Linked DNA regions of Ovis aries. The protein of the gene in region 2 binds, or shares a complex with, the protein of the main gene of each other region. Links are inferred from orthologs where the notes say so. Each region holds a gene or a part of one and is shown on either strand. Other genes may lie near its edges.

Region 1 (5,114 bases), on a different chromosome or scaffold from region 2:
TTGTATGCACTTTCTTTCATCTACTTTAGAGATTGTTCCATGTTAGCACATGTAGGTTACCTCTTTTTATAACAGCTACATAGTATTATGTAGATGCATATAGCTTGATGCTTGTACATGTCATAACCATATTTACTTGTGACCATTCTCTCCCTGCAACCTCTCCATACATTTGACCACCTGGATTTACCCTTTCATATTTTGTTTTTTAACTGTTATTTTCTTTTTTGGTTATTTTGAGAAATTTTCCAGACCTAGTCCACCATGTCATTTGAATTTTCTGTGCCTTGAATTGTTTCTTTCCATTGTATTTATGCTGTAAAATTTCCTTAAATTTCTGGTGATCCCTTGGTTTCTGGGGGAAAAGGCTGACTTTGTGGATCTAGGCAGATCTTCTTAAGTTGTTGCCTTGCCTTTGGGACATGTGGGTTTCTTAAATGCTAGAATGAAAAAAGATTTTAGCTTGCTGATGTTAAAGACAATGCCATAGTTCCTTCAGTCAGTAACCGTATCTTCTTTATTTGCCTGGAATTAAATGTGTTCCTGCTAAAAGGTCTTCTTCCCACATAGAGACCTTTAAATTAAACCCTATTTGCAGCCTTACTACTTAATCAACTTGGAATTAAGAGCTTCCTGGGTTTGCTGTCTCCTTTAAGCCTTTCAGGAGTATTTCCTACTGTGACTTTGTTTCACCCATTATTAATCTTTAGCTTTGGCATCTCTCATCTGCTGATGGCCTCTTCTACTCTTTGGGTATGTTTCTTTCCTGTTGTCTAATGGAGGCCCTGAGAAGGAAAAGAAGATAAAATGTGCTCACTATCAGGTTGAATCAGAAGCCCCATGTTTGAACCTATTCCCCACTTCTGACTTTGGTGTCTGATTTCTGGGCTCTGCAAGCTTCTTTCACTCCTTCAGACACAAGGGACGAGTGCCCAGGTTTTGCTTTCACTCTGGTGCCGAGAGTGTAAAATAATTCACAGGGGACAAAAAAGACAAAGAAAATATTAGATACTAATCAGTGTTTAAGAACTGGAATGTTTTTGCATTTGCCTTGAAGGTCAAAGATCAATAATCAAGATGACAAATACCCAAAAGAAAGGCTACCTTTCATTGTCAGTATCCCGCCCCTCCCCCCAATTTGCCCTTTAGCATTCATTTCATTCAACAAAGAATTATTGAATGCCCATGTGTGCTAGGCATTGTGTAGACACTGGAATTTCAGCAAGTGTTTCCCCGCCTGTGTAATTATAGACAAGGGGAAAGGTCCAGATCAGTATTTCCTAGATCCAGATATAATTACTTACATATAGTTTTTAATAGCATCCCCAAAATAGATTTAGTAGATCTGGTTTAGAACTACTGACTTGAGTGATACTTTTTGAGTGTTTCCTTCTAATGAAATGTGATGGCAGGTCTTAGGCAGTGACCTCTTTTTAAGGTGGTTCTTGAATGTACAGCTTCATATTCAGGGAACCGAAAGATGCTGTTGTTTCCTTGGATAACAGTTCGTGGTTTAAACCTGCACAGAACATATCTGTATTTTGCAAAAGAAAATATGGAGATAGTGGGATTGGGTATTTAACAGGATTATCCAAAAAAACCATCAGTGTAGCTGAGGATGAGATACCATTTTTGACTGCTTCTGGACCAACCTCAACACGCCTATAAACCAGATTAATGTCTTTGATCTCCATCTGGTTGGATTAGTTTTTGTACTCTTTAACTCAGCTTCATTTAGATGTTTCTTCCTCTATTTACAAAAATGTCTGGAGAAATGTTAATTCCTTAATAATCATAATTAAGATACTATTCAAGAGCAGATGCAGAAAATGCCATGCGGTATATAAATGGAACTCGTCTGGATGACCGGATCATTCGTACAGACTGGGATGCAGGCTTTAAGGAGGGCAGGCAGTATGGCCGTGGGCGTTCTGGGGGCCAGGTACGCAGGAAGGTTTTCTGTGCTCAGCCTTTGCCTGGGATTCCAGTCCTAAACAATGTGTTTTGTCAATTTGTATTTGCTCTTCTCAAAATAACTGTGCCTATAACCTTGGCTTGAAGTGAATCCACCCATTGGGGTTGATAAATTATTAATATTTTAAAATACCATTAAATAGTATATCTTTGCAAGCAACCATTACTGGACTTCTGCAAGGGGCTGAATATTCTCCTGCAGGAATGTTGAGCAAAGCAGAATGTACTAAAACAACTTTTCCATTTTTATTTCAGTATAGTTTAAATATTCTTTGGAATGTGCTATCTTTGAGTGCTGAGTGTGTAAGCCTGATGTTTGTTTTTTTTTTTAAAAAAAAGCAGTATTAAAATAATTTTGCAGGGCAGTTGAACTTTATCATCAGTTGCTCAAAATCATGTTACACTTAACAATGTTTACATTATGACATCTGAAAAGGCTTAGTTATTTGTCTGACATATTTTGGAAGGCATGTTTGTTACACTAATCTCTGTACTGTAACATGTTCTTTTCAATTAAGGTACGAGATGAATATCGTCAGGACTATGATGCTGGAAGAGGTGGCTATGGAAAACTGGCCCAAAACCAGTGAGTGGTTGAGAACCCCATCATGAAAGCCCACTCCTTTGGCCTGTTGAATTTGACGGGTGTTACCCAAGGTCTGCAAACCTGCCTTTTGTTTTTTGTTTTTTTTTAAACCAAGCTTTAATCAATGTTTCTACTGAGCTGGAAGCCTTGTCATGGTTTTCCTCTTAAAAATTATTAAAGAACAGAATCCAAAAAAATGCCTTTAATTCTGTAGAATTAAATCTTAGAATCTTGGTTTTGTGTCAGATTACCAAAATGATTTCTGTTACTAGGTCAAAAATTGTGTTCCTTAGCAACAGACTTCATGTATAATGTTGATGTGTCAGCCAAAAACACACTTCTTTTAGACTGGAAAAAATTTTTAAGTGTCTACCATGTTTGCATCTAAGTAGGTTCATGGTCTACCTTGGGACCTGGAATTACTATTTTAAAAATTTTAAGTTTTCATAAGATAAAGTTTAATAAGTAGACTTTTGCTATGTTATGTAGCTTTGCTCTAAATTAGGGGAACAGATGCTTGATAACTGAAGTTTTTTTTTTCTGTGTTGATTTTTAATCTGTAAAGGCAAAACTTAATGGAAATTCCTAAACAGTTGGTATAAAAGTAAGCTTTAGACAGTCCCAGGGAACACCACCTGCTTTACATGCTTTGTATATCAGGAAATAAGGGACAAGGATTGAAGGATATTTATTTACTAAACACATTTTTCAAAATGTGAGATGTGAGCGCCTTCAGATCTATTTTTTTCATTTTCAGACTGATCTTGGGAATGGAGTGTTTTGTGGTGTTTGCGTTTTTTTGTTTTTTTTTTTAAAGAGCTTACAGATTGAGAGAATGGCTTAACAAAATCAGATATGGTTCCCTTGGGAAATGTTTTGGCCAGTTCTTACATTGAAGTCTGTCTGGTTTTTTCTCCAATTGTGCTATGTTTCAGAGGCTGGACAGTCAGCTGATGGTCTCTACAACTCTCAGAAGGGAGTCTAGAGGATTTATTTTGCATTTGTAAGGCAAGAGATGATTTCTCTAATGTTACATGAATTCTTGCTCATTTTAAACTGTTAGTCTAGTGTAATTCTCCCTGACCTAAGTGAGATTTTTTCATCTAGCAACAAAGTATCTCCTACTTTCCAGGAGTTTGTGAAGTTGGGGCTGGAGTATCTCAATGTGAACAGCTTTCATGTTACAGTGTGTGTTTTCTCCAATTTAAATTGGCTATTTGGATATCTCTAAATCAGTTGTAAGTATTTAGGAAAACGTGCAAGTAATTTAATGAGGACATAAAGTCTTTTTTACAGTAGTTTGAATTAATGTATTTTATATTATTTTGCAGTAAAACATGATTCAGATTTCTATAGGCCTTAAAACCATAGACAGTATTTCATATTTGAATTGTCTTCTGTAACAGATTTCAATAAAATTGGACCAACTTACTGTGTTTTTCCTCACCAAGAGACATTGAAACACTCTTAGCCTGGAATCCATTTGGGGGGAGAATCTGCATAGTGTGCAGAATTTGCATGTCCATTTTGATCTGAGAGTTACTAATATGGTAGTCTCTTGCTATATGCTGCTAATTAAAACTGTTCCTCAGTCACATTAGCCACATTTCAGATGCTCGATTCCTGCCTGTGGTAATGGTTGTTGTAGTGGATGCAAATACAGAACATTCCCATTACTGGAGAAAGTGCTGCTACTGGACAGTGAGCTGCTTAGAGCCTATGCAGATAAGCCTTGTCGTGACTGGAGTGCCACTGGGAAAAGTTACTACTCGCCAAACAGTACATGTTACCCAACACGAGAGAACACACATTTATAAAGGCATTTAGTTTATTTTTCAAAAAATATGTTTGCTAGAAGGTTTGAGTAATTTTACATGATCATAATCTTTAAATAAATTTTTTCTGACCAAAAGGTACCATTAAGTGGACAGCTTGTCTAGATCTGCTTTTGTTAACACCCAAATACAATTAGCATGTCTGATGGTATTCCCTAGGTCTTCTTAAATTATCTACAGTCCAGGAGGCAGAGCCTAGCACATAACAAAGTATGTGTTTTATAACTGCTTATTAGTTCAGTTTCATAACAGTTCAGCAGAGCAGGTAGTCAGTACATCTAATTCACACTATTAACACACTGGTTCTTGCCTAAAGGGTCTGATCCATGCAGAGCTCCCAGTTATTCCTTCTAACCCAGGAAGTAGTACACCACATCTGCAGAGAAAGGGGGCAGCTCTACTTAGGCTACTGCTGGCGATGTCTCAGGTCTGTTTCTTTGTTCCAACTATGAATTCATGGTGACCAGTGTTAATTATATTCAATGATACATAGAAAATAAAATGCAAAGCCCAAGCAGCAGCAAGCAGCTGCTGCTTCTCCCTTTCTTAAGAGAAGATTGGTTCTCTATGATTGAGAGAACTAAAAGTGAAAGTGAAATCGCTCAGTCGTGTCCAACTCTTTGTGACCGCATGGACAGTAGCCGACCAGGCTTCTCCATCCATGGGATTTTCCAGGCAAGAGTACTGGAGTAGGCTGACGTTTCCTTCTCCAGGGGATC
Region 2 (5,055 bases):
TCCGCTGGATCATCGAAAAAGCAAAAGAGTTCCAGAAAAACATCTATTTCTGCTTTATTGACTATGCCAAAGCCTTTGACTGTGTGGATCACAAGAAACTGTGGAAAATTCTGAAAGAGATGGGAATACAGACCACCTGACCTGCCTCTTGAGAAACCTATATGCAGGTCAGGAAGCAACAGTTAGAACTGGACATGGAACAATAGACTGGTTCCAAATAGGAAAAGGAGTATGTCAAGGCTGTATATTGTCACCCTGCTTATTTAACTTATATGCAGAGTACATCATGAGAAACGCTGGGCTGGAAGAAGCACAAGCTGGAATCAAGATTGCCAGGAGAAATATCAATAACCTCAGATATGCAGATGACACCACCCTTATGGCAGAAAGTGAAGATGAACTAAAGAACCTCTTGATGAAAGTGAAAGAGGAGAGTGAAAAAGTTGGCTTAAAGCTCAACATTCAGAAAAGGAAGATCATGGCATCTGGTCCCATCACTTCATGGGAAATAGATGGGGAAACAGTGGAAACAGTGACAGACTTTACTTTGGGGGGCTCCAAAATCACTGCAGATGGTGATTGCAGCCATGAAATTTAAACAGTTAGAACTGGACATGGAACAATAGCATACTCCTTGGAAGGAAAGTTATGACCAACTTGGATAGCATATTCAAAAGCAGAGACATTACTTTGCCAACAAAAGTCCATCTAGTCAAGGCTATGGTTTTTCCAGTAGTCATGTATGGATGTGAGAGTTGGACTGTGAAGAAAGCTGAGCGCTGAAGAATTGATGCTTTTGAACTGTGGTGTTGGAGAAGACGCTTGAGAGTCCCTTGGACTGCAAGAAGATCCAACCAGTCCATCCTAAAGGAGATCAGTCCTGGGTGTTCATTGGAAGGACTGATGCTAAAGCTGAAACTCCAATACTTTGGCCACCTCATGCGAAGAATTGACTCATTGGAAAGACCCTGATGCTGGGAGAGATTGGGGGCAGGAGGAGAAGGGGAAGACAGAGGATGAGATAGCTGGATGGCATCACCGACTCGATGGACATGAGTTTAAGTAAACTCCAGGAGTTGGTAATGGACAGGGAGGCCTGACGTGCTGCCATTCATGGGATCGCAGAGTCAGACACGACTGAGCGACTGAACTGAAGGAAGAACAGATTAGGCCAGGAGAGTGAAACAAAAGTTCCATTTCAGAGATGTGAAAATTTCATATGGCTAAGGACCAGGCAGTTAGATACGCAGCCATAGCGCTCACCAGAGATGTCAGAGCGAGGGATATTCAAATACACGTATGGAGGTACACGATAAGTATTGAAAACGTTACTAAAGCAATCACTCGTTCTTTCCTAAACCACAAGTCAGAGGATCGAGAGATCAGATGACGGCCAGAGAGTAACCCTGGAGTAGCTGGCTCACGCTTCGGAGGGTCCTTCTGTCCCCGGGTCGCTGGAGCCGCCTCGCACCCCGGCCTCACCCCGCGCTCCGGGCTTGGCCTAATCTCTCCGCCCAGCTTTCCCCAGCCGGCAAAGGCCGGGAAGTGGGAGAAAGATGAGCACGTACCCGCCCGTCCTGATCCTTTCTCAGATCTCTCTTCACCGAGCAGTCTCCGCCTAGCAATTGCCACCGCTCGCAGCCCTCGCACTCCCAGCCCCCTTCTGTATTTAGGAAGGAACGCCGTACCGCACCTCGCTCCGGAAGTTAGGCCGTTGGCGAAAGGGCCGCCGGGAAAACCCCGCGGAGGCCCCGAGAGAGGGGCTGAAGTGGAGGTGAGGACTAGAGGGTCCCTCCTAGACGACCCGCCTCCGGGCGTGGCTCGCGGCCTGCGGGGTTCGGCCTGGCGGAAGAGGCGGTGCTCTCCGCGTGGCCCCGGAAGGGCTTTCAGCGAAGGCGGGCGAAGGAAGCAGCCAAGAGGGGGAGGTAACCCGAGAGGGTCGCTGCGTGCTGGACTGAAGCCACCGGCCTGGTGAGCTTCCAGAGCCGGCTCTCCTGGATCCGAGCTCGCGGAGCCATCCAGCCATCCTGCCTTGTGCTTCCGGGAGCCGCCGCGACCGACAGCGCCTGCGCGCCGGCCACTCCGCGCGCATCGCCGCTGTCCTCCCGCCAGCCGGCGGCCTGACGGTTCCTGCCGCGCTTCGTGACCGGTGTCTCAGCTCCGCGGAGCACCAGCGTGCGGCATGTCGCGGCGGCGGCACAGCGACGAGAACGATGGTGAGTGCCCTAAGCCCGGCCGCCGAGGCCGCGCTCAGGTGGGCGGAGGTTTGGCTTCCCTGGTGTTCGGGTCTCGAGAGAAGGGACGGGAAGCCCTTCCTCTAGGAGCGTTCAGGGAGCCGCGTAGAGAAGGGGGTGGCACGGCGGGAGTGCGGCCGGGCAACTTTGGGAAAGCCCCTGCTTCCCCCGGTCCCAGTTCCTCAGTCGTTGGCCACGGGGAGGCCTGGTGGACCCCGGTCCCTAGGAACTCTTCAAAATTTGGCTCTTAGCATCGCCGAGCAGGGAATTACACCTGTGTCTGTGCCTCCGCTTCTTAGGGACCTATTCAACCCAGTGTCTCGTTTTGACCCTCAAATTGCACTTAAAAAGGACTCTCAAAAGATGAGAGATCTGCTGAGTCCCGATCTGAGCTTTCTCCTGTTCCCGTCATCCGTCGTCTTGCCTTCTTCCAAGCGATAGGGAAAGAAATCGGTCTTATCCACACCCAAGAGGTCTCTTAAGAAAGAGATGTACGTAGATTGTTGTGTTACATTTTGAGCTGAGTGTAAGCATAGTTCCCTCGTGTAATAGAGTGTTGGAAGACTAACTGGAGAGCTCCTAGAGATTTCGATCAACCATTTGGATGGTTGAGCTCATGGGGATCATGGAGTTGCCATGTAATAAAAACCAAGAATAATTTTGCTAGCTAAAAATAGAAAAGATATTTATCTTGCAAAAATCAGTCAAGAAACAGAAACACATCCAACAAACAGAAAACCTAACAGTTATTGTTACTAATAGTTTAGGGTATTGTTCTTCGAGAAGAGTGTAGTTTGGTGGTTAAGAGGCCAGACTTTGGAATCAGAGGACTTTTCAAAGCCAGACCCTGCTGTTTACTTTGTGATCTTGCCTGGGTTATATTACCTCTTTAAACCTTACTCTCTAACTTAGAAATAATGATACGAACCTTTTGGTTTTGTGAGAGGTAACACATGTAACTAATTGCTCGTGAAGATGTGTATTTTATCACCTGATAATGCTTAAGAGCTGATAATCATTGGCAGATGGTGACTCTAATAAAAAGTACAGAACAAAAAAAATTGAATTAATTTTCTCCACTGACATTTTTCTCTCCTTGAATGTTGGGGTAACTTAGGGGTAGGAGCAGAATCCCACTAATTTAAGGTTTTTTGTTTGGTTTGTTGGTTTGGGTTTTGTTGCTGTCTCTTTTTTTGGCCGTGGTATAAGGATCTTAGTTAGGGTTAGGGATTGAACCTGTGCCCCCTGCAGAGGAAGCACTCAGTCTTAATCACTGGACCACCAGGGATGTCCCCCACTTAGTTTTAATAGTGTATCAGATTTCTCCTAGAGCTTGGCTTGGGAGGATATTCTACCCCAGCCTGCTCACCTCACACCTGAGGTCTACAGTTTTAGTGTAATTAACATGGAGACAGCATTAGCAGTGCCCAGATACCAGTGAAAGCAAGTTGAGAGTTACATTACACAGGTATTCCTATGCTGTATCTTTGATTTTTATTAAACACAACATAATGTACATACAGGGCACAGAAAATAGTTTTCGTGTGCTTTGTATCTGATTTGTTAATTTAATCTCCTGGAAGTCATCGCTTGGGATTTGGAGAACTTGGGTCTTTTAAAGTTCTTCCCATTGTCTTTGTTCTTCTCATGCTTTCTCTACTCTTTCATCATCTCCTTTCTAGGGTATCCCTAAAGGGAGAGAAAATCTTTCCAAGGGGCATCCTGGAGAATTGGATGTAAATTTGTAGAAAAACAACTTTTGCTTTGGTTATTGGGATGCTGGTATAACGTTCTTAGGAGTTAGCTTCTGGCAGCTAAATCACTGTTCATTTGGTGCAGAAATCTCAGAATAAATAAAGACAAAACAAAATAAGGAGTTAATTAAGCAGCGTTTACTATAAATAATTTAGTAGTTGAAGGGCAGTTTATAACCCCTCTTAGATACTACACCAAGTCTGGAGCTTTCGTAAATTGCCACAATTTGGGTAATCATCAGCTAGGGTTTATTCTAAATGGTGATCTGAGTCACATATTTTAGGTAACTTTCTTTTGGTTAAATGCCTACTAAATTTTTTTTTAAACCAGAAATTTTGAAAACTTAAGTATTATAGAAGGCTGTTTTAAAATAGGCCAAATTTTTGTTGTGTTAAATAGATGCATCTAAGCATTTCTGGATTATTGTCAGCTCTTACCAGTCCCTAACTGCCATGACTCTCTGTGTGCTTGACTAGACACAGTAATTTATTCAACAAATATTTAACAGTGCCAGGCACAGTTCTAACTCCTGGCAGTACAGCAGTCGACGATAAAAGGTGCAGTCTCACTTTTACAGGCAGAGAACAATCAAGTAAATACAGTGTATCATATGGTGTTAAGTATGGTGGAGAAAAATAAAACCAGTTAAAGAGGGTAGGGCTCTTGTCAGGGAGGAGTTGCTGTTTTGTATTGGTTTGTCAGTGAAGGCCTCACTGAGAATGGCATCTGATCAAAAACCTGCAGGAGGTGAGGGTGTATTTACATTTGATTAATTAAAAAGTGGGGGAAAGCAGTAGTCTAAGCAAAGGGAGCCTTGAGTGCCAAGGCCTTAAGGCTAGAATAGTCTTGTCATCTTCAAACAGCAAGAAGGCCAGTGTTGCTGTAGTAGAGTGAGAAAGGGGGAGAGTTGTAGGAGATGAGGTCAGAGAGGTAAGGGAGGATCAGCTCACAGATACAACTTAAAACTGTATCTGTTGAGACTTCAGAGTCCAGGATCCAAGGCTATACCCATGAAGCTCACCTGGAGATGGATTTATAGACAGTGAAAATGGAAATAAATGTGTGT
Region 3 (4,409 bases), on a different chromosome or scaffold from region 2:
AGATACTAGGAAATATAGTGGACTAAGCAATTATTACTCACAAATAATCACTGCATATTTTCCTCTTTATATATTGCACATAGCTGATATGTCCCATTTCTGTTTTGCCATTATTTAGATACCATTATTTATATGCCACTATTTTGAGTGTAAATCAAACTTGCCTTAACCCAAACCAATCCAACCCATTTTATCTCCTAGGTTTTGAATTCAATCACAGAGCATTTTAGGTAAAAAAATAAACTCATTCTAATAAAGGTTATGAGTGAGGATGAGCACCTAAATTACTAAGCCAGAGACACAGAGGGCTATTACTGTTAATCCTACTAGCCAGCAAATAGAATGTTCGGCTGAGCAGGGAGAATGACTGTAATGTACGCTGGTATGGTGACAGTATTAAGGGAATATATTTCTAGCAAGAGTTTGTACAGACATTCCTAGATCTGGATAATCAGAAAGGTTTAGAGAAGAGTAATGTTAATAAACAAAACTTTAAACCTTAAAAACTGAAGCACTGGTTTCTATACCATTAGGATGTAATACAATCCAGAAATCTGTAGTTTACAAATGTTAAGAAAATGAAAACAAGCTAGGAAGCAGGGTGGGGGAGAAATGAGCCATCCACTAAAGATGAAGTAGCCTGAGACATTCTTCAAAAACTGTTTTAACTTTCACTAGAAAAATCAGTAGTATTTACAAGGATACATGACATTTAGATTTCTGACTGTTATCTTACTAATATACCAGACCTTTAAAATCACCTCACACAAAGTAATCCCAGGAACGGTGGTAATCATTTTACAACGCATAAAAATACTGAACCACTATGCTGTACACTTGAAACTAATTTCATACTGTAAGTCAATTGTATTTCAATTAGAAAAAAGTTCTTCAAATAAATAAAAGGTTAAAAAAAACTTTAGGGACAATATTTAAATACTTACCTATTTAAAATGCTTCTTTCCTTGGTTATGGCAATTTTATGAAAGAAAATTTGAGATTAAAAAATAAAATCACTCGAATCTCATTGATTTCCAGAATTCCAATTTTATTTCTGCATTCTTTATGAATAAAATGTAACCAATAACCATTTTCCTCTTCCTTCCCTGCTTAGATCCAACTTCAATGATTTATGTGTTTCAAAAATTACTGAAAGACTTCAAGTACATTATTGCAAAGAATAGATAATAACTGCTTCCTACATATTTTTGCTTACTCTGTAAACTGTGGTCAACTCTTGGGGACACCTTAAGTAAACTACCTTTATTTTCTTAAATAAAAATGAATAATTTTAAACATCATGCAGAAGAAACATTTTTAATACCTAACTTCCTTAACATAAGGTAAAACTGTCTTAGGCAGGCCCACTGGGAATTTCTTAAATGTCATTGTAATTATGCACATATGGATTACATTCAGTATTTAAAGATATGACCAAAGTAACTAGTAAGTCAAAAACAAAGTTAAAGTTATGAACCGATACTTCTTTGAAAAGCTTCTGATGTTTATTTACTTCGGAACACACACATAAGTGGGAAGAGCCACTAGTATAAACCTATTTTTAGTTTCTATCATTAAAAGCCTAAGAGTTCTTAAAACACAGAAAAACTAAATTTGAATGCATTTGTAATAGCTTAACAATTTATGTCTTAATAGGATCTTCTAATGGAATGTTTTGAAACCAATCATAGTTCATTGCAAAGATAAATCAGAAAAACTTTTGAACGGCATGTTATAATAACCTGGACAAAATTGATTATCAACTAGTAATAATTAGCACATGCAACAGATTAAGAAATTAAATCTTCCACTATATACTTTTAAATACTTTGTCAGACATGAGAAAGTTGTAAATGTTCTTATCACATTCATCTCCCACATATTCAATTTTATTTAAAACAAGGTAACAGTTCTCTCCAGATTTTTGTGTTTATCAGTGCAAAGTAAAATAATCTCAGTAGAAATGGTTTATTACAATGTTATCTTAGAAAGGTTTATTCCTCAAAATGTACTAAAACATGTCCAAATCGTGAGAATGATCAACCTCAATGGCTTCCTCTGCATCCAACTTCGTTTCTCCATGTCCTTCCTGTGATTCATCAAGAGAGGCCAGGGCCTCATTAGTGTCACTTGCAAAAGTCTCTCGTGATGTATCATCATCTTCTTGAAAATTTAGGTTTTTAATGGCTTGTTTCATCTTTTTCCCCATCACTTGCATTCTTCTCTTTCTAGCAGCTTTTTTATTTTCATATTCCTTTTGATTTTCAAGGTAGAAAATGTCCTACAATAAAGGAACAATTTTAATAAACAAGAACAAATACTATTTATTAAAACTACCATATCCTTAAACCCCCTATTATGTTGCCTTCACAACAGTGCGAAAATTCACAATTTTTTCAAGTGTCTACTGAAAACCCATCCAAACATCTTGATAAAAACAATTCTAACTAGTACAACGCTTGGCAATACTAAATTACATTATGAAGTCCCCCCTTTCCCTCCAAATACAGTAAACCTTATTAAAGAGGAAATGTCATTCCCATGGGTTATATCCTTAAATAAAACAAACCCGGGAATGGCCTAAAGAAATGTCTTTTTATCATATTGTTAATGTGTTACAACAAATGCAGAAAATAGATAATCTGAGAGAAATTTTTCTTCTCCCATCCACAAGTTAAGAACCTAGTGCATACTACTTTAAGAGGGCGATCGTTATAGCTGGACTTTAAAAAAATACAGCAAATTAACCTCTAACTATTCTTACTCTTTTTATCTCCACAAACTTTGTATTCTGTACAAGAAAAATAATAAGGCCACTTACTAAAATAAAATCAAATGAGAAAAAGTTGAAAACAAGCCCACTCAGTTCAGTTCTGGCTTCCAAACTCTACAGACTGTGATTGTTAATAACAGTGACTAAAGAGTGACAATAAGAGGGACTGAAAGAAAAATTATAACACCATTGTTTGAATGAAATATGAAATTACCTGCAATAAAATTATATCTACCTTCTGATTTTTCTTTCTAGTAACAAAGGTAGTCAATCCATGTACAACAGAAAATTTGGAAAAAACAGAAAAAAAAATCTTAAAAGCCAAAACATTTCTAACCCCTCACAACAGACCAAAGCACTGGTAACATTTTGGTGTTTTAACTACCAATCTATTATCCCATGACTCTTTTTCTTTAAAAATCTGTACTCTGCCTTTCAGCTATTATTTTATTTTCTAATTTTCTTAGAATTGCTTCACAAAAATAGAGGCTACACAATAGTTGTTTTAAGAATGTCCTTATAAGTAAACATTCCCCTATTATTGGATACTATTAAAAATGTTTCCACTGTTTATTATAACGCAATGTTTCTGACAGTTTAGGATAAAAATCTACACACATTAAATTCCCTTCTCCACAACAAGTTAGAAGAACTGAATTTCAAAGACCAGTGATTCAGCGGAAACAACATGGGTCTGAAGGCAGAGTCCTGTGTGATCTCAGACCTGTCCTTTTCTTGCTTCCATCTGCAGAGCAGGGTGACACCCAATGACAGGCTGTCAAGAGTAAGTCCTGTAAATATTGGCCTTAGTGCCAGCCTCACAGGAAATAAATGTTCTCCTCTCCTGCTTCTGGAAATTGTTTGTCCAGATTTAGTTATCAAGAAAAAGCTTTGTTAGATATCATTTCATTTAACTCTTTTATAGTAATATTAAACAGGCAGCGCACATATTACAGTCCTCACTTTATAGATGAAAAAATCAAGGCTGGGGGAGACAGTAAGCAATCTTCTCACAGTCTACAATTGCTAAATGGCAAAATTAAGATTAAAACCTAGACTTTGAATCTTAGAGAATCCTTTTCATCACATCATACTGTATCTTTCAAAAGAGTGACATTTTGCCATCAAACAAAACCTGAGAAGAATGTTCCTTCTAAGTACACATTTCTGGCCAGGGGTAATATTAGGGGAGGAGGGAGAACATTAAGGTATTAATATAAGCTCTGTTCTATCACTCAGAAGTTGTGTTCCCAAGGAAATCCACTTCATTACAAATTCACGTTATCAAAATAACTGTCCAATGAGGGAAAAAAGCACTTAAGGAATACAGATTCCAAATGTGCAACAACGGGAACATTTCTTGTAGGAATTTCAGTAACATATTTTTTAAAAAATGACCAAAAGTGAATAGTGAGGGAAAAAAAAAAAACACCTGAGCAAATGCAAAATATGCTCACATGGAGCATCAGCTCAAGAGAAAAGGCTTTTAATTTTGTGTCACCATCAGCCTTACATTAAAACAGTTAAAGCACATTCCTATGACCTTTATCACCCACTGGTATAATAGAGAGAACACAACATTTCTCAAATCCTGCAGCTGTGTTGCACGAGTACCACCTCCTTCCTAAGAAGCCAG

What was found. The genes of interacting proteins can lie anywhere in the genome.
Region 1: the proteins of NCBP1 (region 2) and NCBP2 are in contact, whole or in part, in a crystal structure (PDB 5OOB), measured with the Homo sapiens proteins. The link is inferred for Ovis aries from reciprocal best matches to the Homo sapiens genes NCBP1 and NCBP2. Residues at the interface, in NP_002477.1 of Homo sapiens: Glu32, Cys36, Leu71, Thr74, Val75, Arg77, Leu78, Leu79, Ser324, His325, Trp326, Lys327, Glu328, Arg329, Lys330, Ile368, Val370, Met371, Thr374, Glu378, Asn415, His419, Ser422, Asn423, Gln425, Lys455, Arg458, Leu459, Ser460, Tyr461; in NP_031388.2 of Homo sapiens: Gly4, Leu5, Leu6, Lys7, Leu9, Arg10, Ser11, Asp12, Ser13, Tyr14, Glu53, Glu54, Gln55, Tyr57, Glu58, Leu59, Lys62, Ser63, Asp65, Lys67, Ile69, Tyr89, Asn96, Arg99, Tyr100, Asn102, Gly103, Thr104, Arg105, Leu106.
Region 3: the proteins of NCBP1 (region 2) and PHAX are in contact, whole or in part, in a cryo-EM structure (PDB 8PNT), measured with the Homo sapiens proteins. The link is inferred for Ovis aries from reciprocal best matches to the Homo sapiens genes NCBP1 and PHAX. Residues at the interface, in NP_002477.1 of Homo sapiens: Cys380, Lys381, Pro384, Pro388, Gln389, Leu391, Ala392, Thr395, Phe417, His420, Leu421, Asn423, Phe424, Gln425, Arg427, Trp428, Ser429, Asp432; in NP_115553.2 of Homo sapiens: Ile114, Asn115, Asn116, Ile117, Trp118, Gly119, Val121, Leu122, Glu124, Gln125.

Annotation. Positions count from the first base shown.
Region 1 is NC_056054.1:192,213,143-192,218,256, reverse strand, and holds the end of NCBP2 (nuclear cap-binding protein subunit 2), read left to right. Parts: intron 1-1,803; coding exon 1,804-2,059; 3' UTR 2,060-2,492; coding exon of another isoform or gene 2,493-2,564; 3' UTR 2,565-3,992; downstream 3,993-5,114. UniProt on the Homo sapiens protein: Component of the cap-binding complex (CBC), which binds co-transcriptionally to the 5' cap of pre-mRNAs and is involved in various processes such as pre-mRNA splicing, translation regulation, nonsense-mediated mRNA decay, RNA-mediated gene silencing (RNAi) by microRNAs (miRNAs) and mRNA export.
Region 2 is NC_056055.1:50,020,456-50,025,510, reverse strand, and holds the start of NCBP1 (nuclear cap-binding protein subunit 1), read left to right. Parts: upstream 1-1,876; 5' UTR 1,877-2,182; coding exon 2,183-2,216; intron 2,217-5,055. UniProt on the Homo sapiens protein: Component of the cap-binding complex (CBC), which binds cotranscriptionally to the 5'-cap of pre-mRNAs and is involved in various processes such as pre-mRNA splicing, translation regulation, nonsense-mediated mRNA decay, RNA-mediated gene silencing (RNAi) by microRNAs (miRNAs) and mRNA export.
Region 3 is NC_056058.1:25,000,999-25,005,407, forward strand, and holds the end of PHAX (phosphorylated adapter RNA export protein), read right to left. Parts: intron 2,282-4,409; coding exon 2,012-2,281; 3' UTR 1,028-2,011; downstream 1-1,027. UniProt on the Homo sapiens protein: A phosphoprotein adapter involved in the XPO1-mediated U snRNA export from the nucleus.